Linked DNA regions of Saccharomyces cerevisiae S288C. Changing the gene in region 1 together with any one later gene gives a genetic interaction. Each region holds a gene or a part of one and is shown in the gene's direction. Other genes may lie near its edges.

What was found.
Region 2: mutations in ZWF1 (region 1) and SHB17 impair growth when combined (synthetic growth defect), as found in Saccharomyces cerevisiae (one study listed by BioGRID).
Region 3: mutations in ZWF1 (region 1) and NQM1 are lethal when combined (synthetic lethality), as found in Saccharomyces cerevisiae (2 studies listed by BioGRID, with this or other methods).

What each region holds. Positions count from the first base shown.
Region 1 is NC_001146.8:193,842-202,385, reverse strand, and holds ZWF1 (glucose-6-phosphate dehydrogenase), read left to right. Parts: upstream 1-4,442; coding exon 4,443-5,960; downstream 5,961-8,544. Other genes in the region: LAP3 (bleomycin hydrolase), read right to left, coding at 453-1,817; iron-sulfur cluster assembly protein NAR1, read left to right, coding at 2,409-3,884; ATG2 (Atg2p), read right to left, coding at 6,284-8,544. UniProt on the Saccharomyces cerevisiae protein: Catalyzes the rate-limiting step of the oxidative pentose-phosphate pathway, which represents a route for the dissimilation of carbohydrates besides glycolysis.
Region 2 is NC_001143.9:520,397-523,442, reverse strand, and holds SHB17 (sedoheptulose-bisphosphatase), read left to right. Parts: upstream 1-1,730; coding exon 1,731-2,546; downstream 2,547-3,046. Other genes in the region: YKR045C (uncharacterized protein), read left to right, coding at 1-25; UIP5 (Uip5p), read right to left, coding at 97-1,428; SUN family protein UTH1, read right to left, coding at 2,819-3,046. UniProt on the Saccharomyces cerevisiae protein: Sedoheptulose 1,7-bisphosphatase involved in riboneogenesis. Dephosphorylates sedoheptulose 1,7-bisphosphate (SBP), which is converted via the non-oxidative pentose phosphate pathway to ribose-5-phosphate.
Region 3 is NC_001139.9:579,935-583,300, reverse strand, and holds NQM1 (sedoheptulose-7-phosphate:D-glyceraldehyde-3-phosphate transaldolase NQM1), read left to right. Parts: upstream 1-1,864; coding exon 1,865-2,866; downstream 2,867-3,366. Other genes in the region: RME1 (Rme1p), read left to right, coding at 1-311; MTE1 (Mte1p), read right to left, coding at 3,010-3,366. UniProt on the Saccharomyces cerevisiae protein: Transaldolase is important for the balance of metabolites in the pentose-phosphate pathway.

The sequences.
Region 1 (8,544 bases):
AAAACAACGGGATTAGTTTATCCTTAGTATGGTAGCCGAATGAATGAAATATGTGGAATAGATTTCTCTTTTACAAAACGGGATGTTTAAGCCAGGAAAAAGAACAGGCTTATGACAGAATTATGCATATGAAACGAGAGAAAGAACACGTCCAGCAAATATGGAGTACCTTGTTTGCCTTTAGAAAATGTTTCGGTTTCAATACTGTTCTCTTCAGCGATGCTGTTGAAGTATCAGCTCAGTTATTTAATATGCTAACCTTTCCTTTGTTTGTTTTCTTTTTCTATCTTTATTTTTTTTCCATTTACCGTTTTTTGCGTTTCAGAAAATGACCCTCATTGATTATATGAATAATAATATACACGTTATCATTTTTTATTTCTTTTATGTATGTATAGTAAAAATAAAACATGTCGAGATACGTGTATCTACATCAGAGCTGCTGAAACTATTTATTTGGCCAAAGCACCCATTGGGTCCCAGATGGGCAAGACAATCGGCTCTTCCTTACCTGAGGTGAATTTTGAAGCCAGCTCTTTTGGCAATTCATTGATATCGACCACAATTTGAAAGCAGTACTCCTCGAAGTACTTTTGAGTCATCACGTATAATCCGTCTTTACCGGAGTCTTTACCCCAGGAATTTTCAACGCGGTAGCGAAGTGGTAATTTAGACGTTTCATCGACGTGGCAGCCAGTGATCAACATAGCATGAGTCATCAAACTTTCATGGTATCTAATACGCGATGCCTTTTGCTGAGGTAAATTATAGCCGATGGCAGGATAGTTCCACAATTCAATATCCATGACACCAGTTTTCTTGTCCATGAACTTTGGAGTGTGAGATCCAAAAAAGACAGCTTTGTTATTTTGTAATCTCTTAACAACCAATTTAGATAGTGTTTCATTGTCAACATTTAAGTAAATCACGGCATCTCCGCCAAGGACGTTTCCTAAACGATCGATCTTAATTAATTTACCATATGGGTGTCTTGGATCATTGATCAATGAGACTGGCGTGGAAGGGTCCAATTTTGCGTATTTGGAGGCAAATTCTAACGGAGTCGATTTGATAGTGTGGATTTTCTTGTCTTTGTCAACGTATTCCCAAGTGAATTGCTCGTTTGGTTGCACTGGAGGTATGTCCATGAACAACGACATCAACCTGAAGATTTCTCTTTGCATTTGCTCTCTCAGAGTGACAATTATGGAATCATCGGCAGAACGCTCTTTCAAAGCTGTTCTTAGAGTCTCGGCAAATTCTCTCAGTTTAGTAGTCAACAGAGAATTCCATTTTCTGGACGCAGTAGTAGAATAAGGTAGATCCCCGTATAAATCTTTGGGGATAAGGCCATACTTCTTGACTAGGTTCAAAAACATGCTGTATTGGCCACCGTCTTCTGTTGGAGCTGCTAACAAGTATTGCACGAGACGTGAGTCGATGTCTTGATCAGCCGAGGAGACGATTTGGTCCAAGAAATAGTTGGCCTTTTCCAACTTATCGTAAAAGAACAAGTAAGCTTGGGACAGTTCGAATTCTTTTAAGTTCAATTCAGAAAGAACATTCAAGCGCAGTTGATTGGTAGCGGCAAACAACCAACATCTACCAGAGCTTTTTTGGTTGGTGACTGGAGTGGAATCAGTAGAGACAACAGTGTTGAAAACCCTGTTATCTTGCTTTTGCAGTCTAGTCTTGTTCAACAGTGCATCATCGGCATTATAATTCTTAAGGACAGTGGTTGCCAATTGATGGGTTAAGTCGGATTGAAACTCTTTGTTCCAAGAGTTGATCTTACTGATATCGATGGAAGAGGACATTCTTTTTAAAACAATTTGTGGTGCTCGTAAAAGGTGGCTTCTAAACGTCTTGAGATACAAGGACCGGGAAACAGAAGTAGGAAGCATGTAACAAAAGAGCAAGGGCTATTTATCGTTTATTTATGGGTGCCCGTCGGCGACTTGTCAGCCGGCGTTATCAATTGATTACCACATGCAACCCCATTGATTAAGAGAGCAGGTGACTTTCTGGTGGGAGGGGAAAAAAGGATGTGTCACTCACTACCCGGCGATTGCATGCTATTTGACACATACTAAAGCAAAATAACATATGTAGCATAATCAATAAAGCGACTATTTTCTAAATTTCAAAAAGCACTGAATATACGATGCCTCTTCACAGGATTAAGAGACAAAATTTGCCTGTTTGTAAAGCATATTGCCTGCCTTTCCGCTAGTTTTTTCTTTTCCACTTCCTATTTTCTTTTTTTACCAGTTTTCCCTGCTCATCGCATGAAGAAAAAAATGATAAAAGCGTTTTATGGTGATGACTAAGAAACTTGTCTTGTCAGCTGGAAAGATAAGAGAGGGAGCTTCCTTTTCCTGAGTGACAAGATAAGTGTACAAGAAAGCATGAGTGCTCTACTGTCCGAGTCTGACCTAAACGATTTTATCAGTCCCGCCCTTGCGTGCGTCAAACCTACCCAGGTGAGCGGGGGCAAGAAGGATAACGTTAACATGAACGGAGAATACGAGGTGAGCACGGAACCAGACCAACTGGAGAAGGTCTCTATTACCCTATCAGACTGCCTCGCGTGTTCTGGTTGTATAACGTCTAGTGAAGAAATCTTGTTGAGTAGCCAAAGTCACTCGGTTTTCCTGAAAAACTGGGGGAAGCTTTCGCAGCAGCAAGACAAATTCCTCGTTGTGAGTGTCTCGCCACAATGCAGACTATCTCTTGCGCAGTACTACGGCTTAACATTGGAGGCGGCCGATTTGTGTTTGATGAATTTTTTCCAAAAGCATTTCCAGTGCAAGTATATGGTTGGAACGGAGATGGGCAGAATCATATCGATTAGCAAAACCGTAGAGAAGATCATTGCGCATAAGAAACAAAAAGAAAATACCGGTGCGGACCGCAAGCCTCTATTATCTGCTGTGTGTCCGGGATTTCTTATATACACGGAAAAGACCAAACCGCAGTTGGTGCCTATGCTGCTCAATGTCAAGTCGCCTCAGCAAATTACGGGCTCGTTGATCAGAGCTACGTTCGAGAGTCTCGCTATCGCGCGTGAGTCCTTTTACCATCTGTCGCTGATGCCATGTTTTGACAAGAAACTAGAAGCGTCAAGGCCAGAATCGCTTGACGATGGGATTGACTGTGTCATTACGCCACGTGAAATAGTGACAATGTTACAAGAGTTGAATTTAGACTTCAAGTCGTTTCTTACTGAGGACACAAGTTTATATGGGCGGCTATCACCGCCGGGATGGGACCCGCGAGTCCACTGGGCGTCGAATCTGGGAGGCACTTGTGGTGGCTATGCCTACCAGTACGTAACGGCTGTCCAACGACTACACCCAGGAAGTCAGATGATAGTTCTGGAGGGTAGAAACAGCGACATTGTCGAGTACCGATTGCTGCACGATGATCGCATAATAGCCGCCGCCAGCGAGCTTTCCGGGTTTAGAAACATCCAAAATCTGGTGCGTAAACTGACCTCGGGCTCCGGGTCAGAGCGCAAGAGGAACATCACCGCTCTGCGGAAGAGACGAACAGGTCCAAAGGCGAACTCACGCGAGATGGCGGCCGCCACGGCCGCCACGGCCGATCCCTACCACTCGGACTACATCGAGGTAAACGCGTGTCCGGGTGCATGCATGAACGGTGGTGGCCTACTCAATGGCGAGCAAAACAGTCTCAAGCGGAAGCAGTTGGTTCAGACACTGAATAAGCGTCACGGAGAGGAGCTAGCAATGGTAGATCCTCTAACCCTGGGACCCAAGCTAGAAGAGGCGGCAGCCCGCCCGCTTTCGCTAGAGTACGTCTTCGCGCCCGTCAAGCAGGCCGTCGAAAAGGATCTCGTCTCTGTTGGGAGCACCTGGTAAGTAAGGTGTAGTTTTGCACCCGTGTACATAAGCGTGAAATCACCACAAACTGTGTGTATCAAGTACATAGTGACATTTAAATAATAGCAAGAACAACAATAATAGTAGCGCTACTGGAAGCACCACGTAATAGTGGAAAAGAACTGGAAAAACCGCTATAAGATGCATACTCCGGCGGTCTTACGCGGAGATACAAGCTTCCAACGGTGCTAAAAGCCCGGTTTCGGCTCGGCCGGAGGAGGAAGAGAGACGAAAAAAAAAAAAATGACTAAAAAAAAAATGGAATATTATTAATGTGGGATTTTTGGCTCAAGGTGTGGTGGCCCCTTTTCTAAGGGTGGCGAATTCTTCAATGTACGGAAAACTCGCCAAGGCTATCCCATATATAAGCAAACTGTGGGTTCATCTATATACCGACACATAACACCTAAAGTGGCTTCCTCCTGCCCCTCTCTCCCTTTTCTCCACTCACCCCTCCTTCTCCCCCTTCCCCCTCTCCAATTGGCTGTATAGACAGAAAGAGTAAATCCAATAGAATAGAAAACCACATAAGGCAAGATGAGTGAAGGCCCCGTCAAATTCGAAAAAAATACCGTCATATCTGTCTTTGGTGCGTCAGGTGATCTGGCAAAGAAGAAGACTTTTCCCGCCTTATTTGGGCTTTTCAGAGAAGGTTACCTTGATCCATCTACCAAGATCTTCGGTTATGCCCGGTCCAAATTGTCCATGGAGGAGGACCTGAAGTCCCGTGTCCTACCCCACTTGAAAAAACCTCACGGTGAAGCCGATGACTCTAAGGTCGAACAGTTCTTCAAGATGGTCAGCTACATTTCGGGAAATTACGACACAGATGAAGGCTTCGACGAATTAAGAACGCAGATCGAGAAATTCGAGAAAAGTGCCAACGTCGATGTCCCACACCGTCTCTTCTATCTGGCCTTGCCGCCAAGCGTTTTTTTGACGGTGGCCAAGCAGATCAAGAGTCGTGTGTACGCAGAGAATGGCATCACCCGTGTAATCGTAGAGAAACCTTTCGGCCACGACCTGGCCTCTGCCAGGGAGCTGCAAAAAAACCTGGGGCCCCTCTTTAAAGAAGAAGAGTTGTACAGAATTGACCATTACTTGGGTAAAGAGTTGGTCAAGAATCTTTTAGTCTTGAGGTTCGGTAACCAGTTTTTGAATGCCTCGTGGAATAGAGACAACATTCAAAGCGTTCAGATTTCGTTTAAAGAGAGGTTCGGCACCGAAGGCCGTGGCGGCTATTTCGACTCTATAGGCATAATCAGAGACGTGATGCAGAACCATCTGTTACAAATCATGACTCTCTTGACTATGGAAAGACCGGTGTCTTTTGACCCGGAATCTATTCGTGACGAAAAGGTTAAGGTTCTAAAGGCCGTGGCCCCCATCGACACGGACGACGTCCTCTTGGGCCAGTACGGTAAATCTGAGGACGGGTCTAAGCCCGCCTACGTGGATGATGACACTGTAGACAAGGACTCTAAATGTGTCACTTTTGCAGCAATGACTTTCAACATCGAAAACGAGCGTTGGGAGGGCGTCCCCATCATGATGCGTGCCGGTAAGGCTTTGAATGAGTCCAAGGTGGAGATCAGACTGCAGTACAAAGCGGTCGCATCGGGTGTCTTCAAAGACATTCCAAATAACGAACTGGTCATCAGAGTGCAGCCCGATGCCGCTGTGTACCTAAAGTTTAATGCTAAGACCCCTGGTCTGTCAAATGCTACCCAAGTCACAGATCTGAATCTAACTTACGCAAGCAGGTACCAAGACTTTTGGATTCCAGAGGCTTACGAGGTGTTGATAAGAGACGCCCTACTGGGTGACCATTCCAACTTTGTCAGAGATGACGAATTGGATATCAGTTGGGGCATATTCACCCCATTACTGAAGCACATAGAGCGTCCGGACGGTCCAACACCGGAAATTTACCCCTACGGATCAAGAGGTCCAAAGGGATTGAAGGAATATATGCAAAAACACAAGTATGTTATGCCCGAAAAGCACCCTTACGCTTGGCCCGTGACTAAGCCAGAAGATACGAAGGATAATTAGAAAAATGCAAGCACATTCATTTATCGGCTAAGTCACTGAAATTTTTTTTTTCGAGTGATTTTATCTTGCAAGCTCACTCTCTTTGTTCTTTTCTCCTCTATAATGGCATCTTCCCCCCACCAACTCCTCTCTACTTGCGTGTGTATTTGTTTGTATACATGTGTAAATATATATACATAAAAGAATGTCGTCTCATGTATTTTTTAACTTTTAGCCGCGGTCAGTGACATTTTGGCTTTCCCACCATTCCACGTCTGAAAAAAAAAAAAAAAAAAGAGATAAAATATGAATTGAATATATATCAAAAATGTCTGCAAAAATTTTTACGAATCAGTCCGATTGGACTTGTACTTATCATTGATTTGCTCGTTATGCGTCTTATCCACTTGATTAGCTATTCCCTGTAAAGTCTTAGACACTGCCTCAGTGGCCCCAATTAACGGCCGAATAATTGCCACAGGTGCAGCTCTAGCAACATAAACTGCTGCGGCGCTCGGCCCTCCCCGTTTATCATCCTTCATCTGTCCCTTTGCCCTCCATACCGCATCGTACGCAATATGCATATGCTTTTCTAATGAACTATACGCCTCCTTCAAACCCGTGGGCAGGTCGAGGGGCTGATCTGCGTACAGACTCACTATTGTGGGTTCGTTGTGATCTCCCGGTGAAGACATATCGATGACTACTGCCGTGGGCTCATGATCTCTTATCCTGGAATATTTACTACCAACTAACTGATCCTCCTCGAATAAAGTATCCAAGTCTAATACAGCTGCAGTATCACTGTCTGCACCATCAGCGGAGCCAAATTTCGATGCATCGTACACCCTGCCATTGGAACCAACACCACCGAATAGTTCCTCGGTGTTCTCCAATATCGCCTGTGTCCCTGAAGTTAATTTAACTCCCAATTTCACAAAATCTCCCGTTGTCGTTTTCAAGAAGACATTGCCACCCTTTTTCAGACTCCTTCCCAAATGCCCTTCTTGCCTGTATTCTGACATTAGTACTGTGACTAGGGTCTTCACCCCTGACCCAATCGCCATAAACGATCTGACAGGAGCCAGTCCTTCCAAAACGCCAGGCAGCTGCTTTTTGGTAATATCCGGCGTCCAAATGGCTTTCAGTTTATTATTTAATTCATCGAATCCATTTAATCCATACAGGACTACGCTTTTCAAAATAATCTTGGATCCATCAAGGGTAAAAAAATTCATCAATTCAGAAGTTTGGCCCGATCTTAAACCCGCATAATCAACTTTTTTCGGCTTATAATCTAATCTTAACTTAATTGAATTAGTGCTAAATTTTTGAATAAATACAATATCTGGATACTCATCAATTAATTCAAATCTTTTATCTTTGAACCCTAAGAACCTTATTAGAAACTCTAAAGTGTCTTGATCCACGTGAAGGCGTAAAGGCGCAACATTTAATTGCATGACTAATTCCACTGCTTGCAAAAAGTCGATCGGCCGGATAAATTCCAGGTCCAGAAGAAACATCGGAGAACTGTGTGGCCACGGTTCGTGCTTTAGCAAAGTTACAAATTTATTCCAGGTGGACGTGGGAACATTATCGATAATTTCAAATTCGTAAATGGAAACTACACATCGGTTCAAAACATCTGTGGAATTATCAGAGTTAGACTCATCGGGTTCATCTACTCGATAATTCTTCAAATTGACATGTACTTTGTTCAATTGAATCAGGGCTTTGTAATGCTTAGAAGGTCGCAAATTAACTTTAGAGACATCAGAGAAGGAATTCTGAACCCCCTGGATCTCACCATCAAGATTTCTTCTCAAATCTGTGACATTGTTTTTGTTAGCAGATATATAAATAGAGTCAAAAATATTTGCCTCTGATTGGGGTACATTTGATTTCGAACTGCTTGCTTCCGCTTTACTGAGCTCTTTATCCAGTTTTTCAACAGTATTAGCGATAAATTTCCGCGTATATTTCCAATCATACCCATCGAATAGTTTTATAACAACTTTTTCGACATCTATACTACCCCTTATATCCACATCCCTTTCTTGCTCTTTTGAGGCGATTGGTGGAGTATCTTCTTCTTTTGGCTGAGCAGAGTCTAGATAACTCTCATGGGGAAGTAAAATACCACCTGTGGCAGTTCCAGAGGAACTGTCCATTTCATATGAACCTTGAGAGGATAGTTTACTTCTGGCACCATTGTTGAACTCGTGAGTTTTGTCGAGAAAACTGTCTACCAAATGCACTGAGTCGTAATCATTTTGATGATTGTTCTCCCGGATGAAGGCAGAATTGAAAAGATCACAATCGATGTCTTTGAATACATCGATAGGATTTTTCAACTGCGTTCTAAATTTTTCCTCATCAGGAAACGTCTGAGGATATTTTAAATCAATACAAAGCTGACAAAAAGTTTGAAAAGAATCCGCGCATAATGAAAGACCAACTTGTTCTATTTTACAATCCAATAAAAGGGCACCATCGGATTTGTTTATTAAAAAATTCAAAGTATCTATTTTACCGATTGCAGAGAAACCTTGACCAGCATAAAAATTTATCAAACTAGGCCAGTTCTTATCTTTTTGAATTT
Region 2 (3,046 bases), on another chromosome or scaffold:
TAACACTACCACAAGAAGACCGTGAATTGGCTACCTAAGATGAACGTCCTATATTGTATTATTTGTGTATGTATGTATGTGCGTGCCTATGCAATGCTACATGGGCAATAGCCCCACAGAATGCGAGCCTGCCCTTTTTCTTCTGGATCTAATTTTTTTGAACCTTCTTTGGAAAACTCTTATGCAAGCAGAAAAAAGATAAATGCCCATGATCAATAGCAAAATCTCGCTATAATGCCATATGGTCAGCACGACCTTGAACAACCGAGAGTGAGGATTGTTTGAAGTTTTCTGTTCAGCTGACTGTGACCCAGTCTTGATGTTTGGTTGAGCTTTGATCATTTTCCATTTGGTGAACTCATCGGGTTCCCTGTCAAGGACCTCGCCAAATTCCTGCTCCAGGAATAGCTCAGCTTCCTTTGCGTAATCATAGGTGTCCTCAATGGACGCATCCATGTCGTTCCAATGGAATTCGCTAGTGGATACGTCCAGCAGCTCCACTGTCTCCGTTAATTGGCCATTTAATGCGCTACAGCCAATGTATCTTTGCCCCGTGTGCATGTTTTTCGGCAAGTACAGATTTTCGGTTGTTTGAAATAACTCAATCCAGTAGTTTCCCTCTTTTGCGTACTGCACGTCGATCTTCAGGAAGCTTATACTTTCCAAATATATTATTCTTAGTTTCGTGACTCGATTCCACAGGGCATTTTTCTTGAGTTTTATGTGGCCTCTTGAATTAAGCCGCAGCGATGTACTGAGTTCACCATCACTATTTATATCGTACCAATCGCTTTCTGGGGCCACATTTATAAACACATCCATAAAGGGTACCTCCTTATGGTCGTGGCCTTGGTTGCGATACGTATCCAAGACAATAAATAGGCCAGGCAGATTTTTCGGGAAGCCCATCAGATCTGTATTATCGGCTATGACGCCCTGAGAATTCATCATGTATTGCTTTTTCGCATACGACGACTGTAAATTCTGTGTGAGAAACCCATTTTCGGGCGTAATGGCAAAACACATTCCATCACCAGTGAGTTGTGTAGTGGGGTCGTGAGAAATTCTGAAAGTGAAAACAATCTCAAAGTCATTGATGGTGTTGTCGCCAATTCCATTGGACAATACTAATCCATGTTTATCTTGATCACGGTCCTGAGTCAATTTGATCGACTGAATATTCCTAATTTGCGTGGCACCGCCTACATGCCAAAACTGGTTGATCTTGTCCAAAAACGGTATAGATAAACTAGCATCATGGTTGGGCACACGCGTTACATGTGATCTTCCTCTTGTAAAGGGGCTAGTCTCTGTATGGTACTGATCACCATTATTGAGATAAATCTCAGCCACTAATTGGAATATTAGAAACAATGATAAAATCAATAGTGATATGGCTAGTTTCTCTGCCCTTACATCTCTTGACATCGTTACTTAAAGAGAGAGCACACACGTTATAAACTACCCACCGCCAAATTGCTATCCAATGTTAAGGATAGACAAATGCAAAAATATATAAAGGAAACCAAAATCTGCTTATATAAAGCGTAAATCTTACATTTTTCACTGCTTACTCACTCTTATTGTTTTTTTTCTGTTCAACCACGCGATGAGTTTTTTTTTTCCATTATTATTTATAGGACAAAAATGAAAAAATATTAGCTCAGATAAGCACATTTTGTTCATAGCTAAGTGGATAGGGAAACACCTACACTTAATTGCAAGCAACAATGCCTTCGCTAACCCCCAGATGTATCATTGTCAGACACGGTCAAACTGAATGGTCCAAGTCAGGCCAGTATACTGGTTTGACAGATCTACCGTTAACGCCCTACGGTGAGGGCCAAATGTTGAGGACCGGTGAGAGTGTTTTCCGCAATAATCAGTTTTTGAATCCAGACAACATCACTTATATCTTCACCTCTCCACGTTTGCGTGCCAGGCAAACTGTGGATTTGGTTTTGAAACCATTAAGCGACGAGCAAAGAGCTAAGATCCGTGTGGTGGTAGACGACGACTTGCGAGAGTGGGAGTACGGTGACTACGAGGGAATGCTGACTCGAGAAATCATTGAATTGAGAAAGTCACGCGGTTTGGACAAGGAGAGGCCATGGAATATCTGGAGAGATGGGTGTGAGAACGGTGAGACTACTCAGCAAATTGGGTTGAGACTTTCCCGCGCTATTGCCAGAATCCAGAACTTGCACCGCAAGCACCAGAGTGAGGGCAGAGCATCAGACATCATGGTCTTTGCGCACGGACATGCATTGCGTTATTTTGCTGCTATTTGGTTTGGACTGGGTGTGCAAAAGAAGTGTGAGACGATTGAAGAAATTCAAAATGTCAAATCTTATGATGACGACACAGTTCCATATGTGAAATTGGAATCTTACAGACATTTGGTAGACAATCCATGTTTCTTACTGGACGCCGGTGGGATTGGTGTTTTGTCATACGCTCACCACAACATTGACGAACCTGCATTGGAATTAGCAGGTCCATTTGTCTCACCACCAGAGGAGGAATCCCAGCATGGCGATGTGTAAGCAATCATTCGAAATGCAAAAAAAGATATGCAGTTATAGAAAGTGATAAAAACATTTTTTTTCTTGACTTTTTATGTTATATAATATGCTATATATGATAATATCTAGTGGTATCTTAAAAAAGAAAAAATAATGAAATAAAAGGGATAGTACAAAGGACTGTGTTTTTTTGTATTGTGGAAAAACGAACTAATTGAAAAATAAACCATAAAATGAACGGAGTAAAAAAAGTACTAGCAAAAGCTTATTTGCAATATTCAAGGAAAAAAGGCCTAGTAGAAGACAAAGTTAGCAGAACCAGAAGTAACTGAAACAGTACAACCGTCAGAGCCAGAGCCAGAGTAGACACCATTTTCGTAAGAGCAAGCACCATTGACGGTAGAGCCATCGGTGGCAACGATCTTGATGTTAAAGTTTGGTGCTTCTTTGTTGTTTGGGTTTGGAATGATGGACAAGTAAGTGATACCATCAGTGTAACCAGCACCCAAGACAACTGGGGC
Region 3 (3,366 bases), on another chromosome or scaffold:
ACGAATTCAACCTTGAAAGACCGTGTAAGTGTCCCATAGAGCAATGTCCCTGGAAAATATTGGGTTTCCAACAAGCAACTGGTCTGAGAAGACATTGTGCTTCCCAACATATAGGAGAGCTTGATATAGAGATGGAGAAATCATTAAATCTAAAAGTAGAAAAATATCCAGGACTGAATTGCCCATTTCCTATCTGTCAGAAAACGTTTAGGCGCAAAGACGCCTATAAGAGACATGTGGCCATGGTGCATAACAACGCTGATTCAAGATTTAACAAGCGTTTGAAGAAAATTTTGAACAATACCAAATAGTTGAGGCATTAAAAATGTACCCCATGAAACTCTTGTTAAATTTGTGCAGGCATGAAAGCTACTGTATTTTTTCTTAAAGTAATAAAAATAAAACACAATGATATTAAAGAAAACGCATGCAACTATGGACACTTGCTATGTCGTGAATATGGCACCACGTTGGTTACTTAGCTAAATAAAAAATCGTAAGTACTCGCATTTTTTCTTCTATATTCACTTTGCTTCTTTGGACAGTTATTTCAATAATAAATATTTCTTTTTTTCTAATCTCCCTTATCACCTAAGAGGAAAAAGTTTGAAAATAAACTTATGGCTAGAGGTTATTTGGTATTCCGAGAAAACATTTGAAACTAGGAAGTTTACATATCAGTGCAATTATGTTTCCTTCGATGATTCACGTACCCTCAAAGTCAGTACCATAAAATTGAAAATAAGACAGGTGTTTTTTTTTTTTTTTTTAATCATACAAGAATTCAACCACTTAAGTAGGATATTAGCGCTTCTTGTGCCGAAAGTCTCGTAATTTCCAATTTATATGTTTTTTAGTTGCATCGCCCTGGTTCCACAAACCGTATTTACGAACCCTCTAGGTAATAGTATCTTTGGCAGTTCTTTTCCAGCTAAGATTTTTATGTTCTCACCGTTGGCGGTTATTTTTCTAAATACCCTCAATGAAAAACTCACATCGCACGCACATTTCCTGAAAATATCTTTGAGAAATATAGCAATCCTCGAGAACAATTGCAGGACAGGAAAAATATTAAGAAACAATAATCGCTAGATCAATCATTTTATGGAAAAAGATCTGTACAGCCAAGAAGAAGAAAAAAAAGAAGAAAAATGGCATTACTCTTTTGTAATTTTCTTGATGAATAATATGGGGGGACAATATAATAAATGCACACTATCTGGTTGAATAGACCAAAAAAGATAGCTTTCTTTTTCTACTTTTTTTCTTTTTTATATTAATTTTTTTCTTTTTTCACATTTTCAAGGTCAGCATTGTATTAAATCTATTCATGCCAGAAAGCCATTATTCATTATTTTTCAAATAGGGGTAGCGGCTTTTTCATCAACTCGATTATTACCCTTTAGAGACCTTCCCTAAAGTGAGCGGCAATTATTTCCGGATGTTAGTAGGGTAATATGGTTACGGATTTGTGACACAAAAGGGCTTTTCAACAGTCGGTCTGGGTTGAAGGATTTTCAGGATGACGAAGCTTTCAATAAGAGGGACTGGACTGTTAACGCGGGGAATTATAGGTTACTTTCCTTGATCTGGCTCTGGCTCTGGCTCTGATTTTGGCTCTTGTACTCCTCGGACTTCTTGACTTGTAACGAAATACGTCTTTTGTCCTTCTCTTCTTCTTCCATAGTAGGGGCGAATGAGGGGAGCATAGTGGATCCTTCTAACCATCTAGAATGGGGTGGACAACATATAAAAGAAGAGCAATCTTGCAGCGCAGTCATATTTATGCTAAGTATATCATTATTTCTTGCTAGCGTAAGTCATAAAAAATAGGAAATAATCACATATATACAAGAAATTAAATATGTCAGAACCTTCAGAGAAAAAACAAAAAGTTGCTACCTCATCTTTAGAACAATTAAAAAAGGCCGGGACCCATGTGGTTGCTGATTCGGGTGATTTTGAGGCTATTTCGAAGTATGAACCACAGGATTCAACAACTAACCCTTCTCTGATATTGGCTGCTTCAAAGTTGGAGAAATATGCGAGGTTTATCGACGCTGCCGTTGAATATGGTAGAAAGCATGGCAAAACTGATCATGAGAAAATCGAGAACGCCATGGATAAGATTTTGGTGGAATTCGGCACCCAGATTTTGAAGGTAGTCCCAGGAAGGGTTTCCACTGAAGTAGACGCAAGGTTATCTTTTGATAAGAAGGCGACGGTGAAGAAGGCTCTCCACATCATCAAACTATATAAAGATGCGGGAGTACCTAAAGAAAGAGTCTTGATCAAGATAGCTTCTACGTGGGAGGGTATCCAAGCTGCTAGAGAATTGGAAGTAAAGCATGGTATTCATTGTAATATGACATTACTGTTTTCCTTTACGCAAGCAGTAGCCTGTGCGGAGGCAAATGTCACATTGATCTCCCCATTTGTTGGAAGGATTATGGACTTTTACAAGGCCCTTTCAGGCAAAGACTATACTGCAGAAACTGATCCCGGTGTTCTTTCTGTTAAGAAGATATACAGTTACTATAAGAGGCATGGTTATGCAACTGAGGTAATGGCGGCTTCTTTCAGGAATTTAGATGAATTGAAGGCGTTAGCCGGTATTGATAATATGACTCTCCCACTGAACCTTCTAGAACAGTTATATGAATCAACAGATCCTATTGAAAACAAATTGAATTCTGAGAGTGCTAAGGAAGAAGGCGTCGAAAAAGTCTCTTTTATCAACGACGAGCCTCATTTCAGATATGTTTTAAACGAAGATCAAATGGCTACAGAAAAACTATCAGATGGTATCAGAAAATTCTCCGCAGACATTGAAGCACTGTACAAACTGGTTGAAGAAAAAATGTGATCATTAAGAGTAGAGGTACCTACTTATATATATAAATATATATATACCACTTTCCTTTTCGGTACTTAGTATTGAATTTGTTTGAGTATATGTGCATAGCATAGTGTACAGACTTATATATTCATTAAAATTCTGACGTATAATCAAATTCCGAGGGGTTCGTGAACAATTCTTCGTATCCCGCCCACTCTCCTTTTACCACTTTTGGATAGGTTCGCCATATCTTTCTTTCTGTCGGAACCGTCTCTGACTTTAGCTTCTTCGGTAATCGTGGCGTAATTACCTTGCGCAATATTATCATTATTCAACGCAACTTTTCCGGCTGTCTGCACTTTAGTGCTTGTGTTTGTTTCGTGTAGTTGTGGTGTCACTTCCTGAATCTTTTGGCTCCTTATGCTCGGTCTATTTGATTCATTTACCACATTAGTACTTAATATCCTCTTGGGCTTCTTGAAAGGCTTATTGACCTTCAGAGTAAGTTTGCTGATGTTGAATCCTCC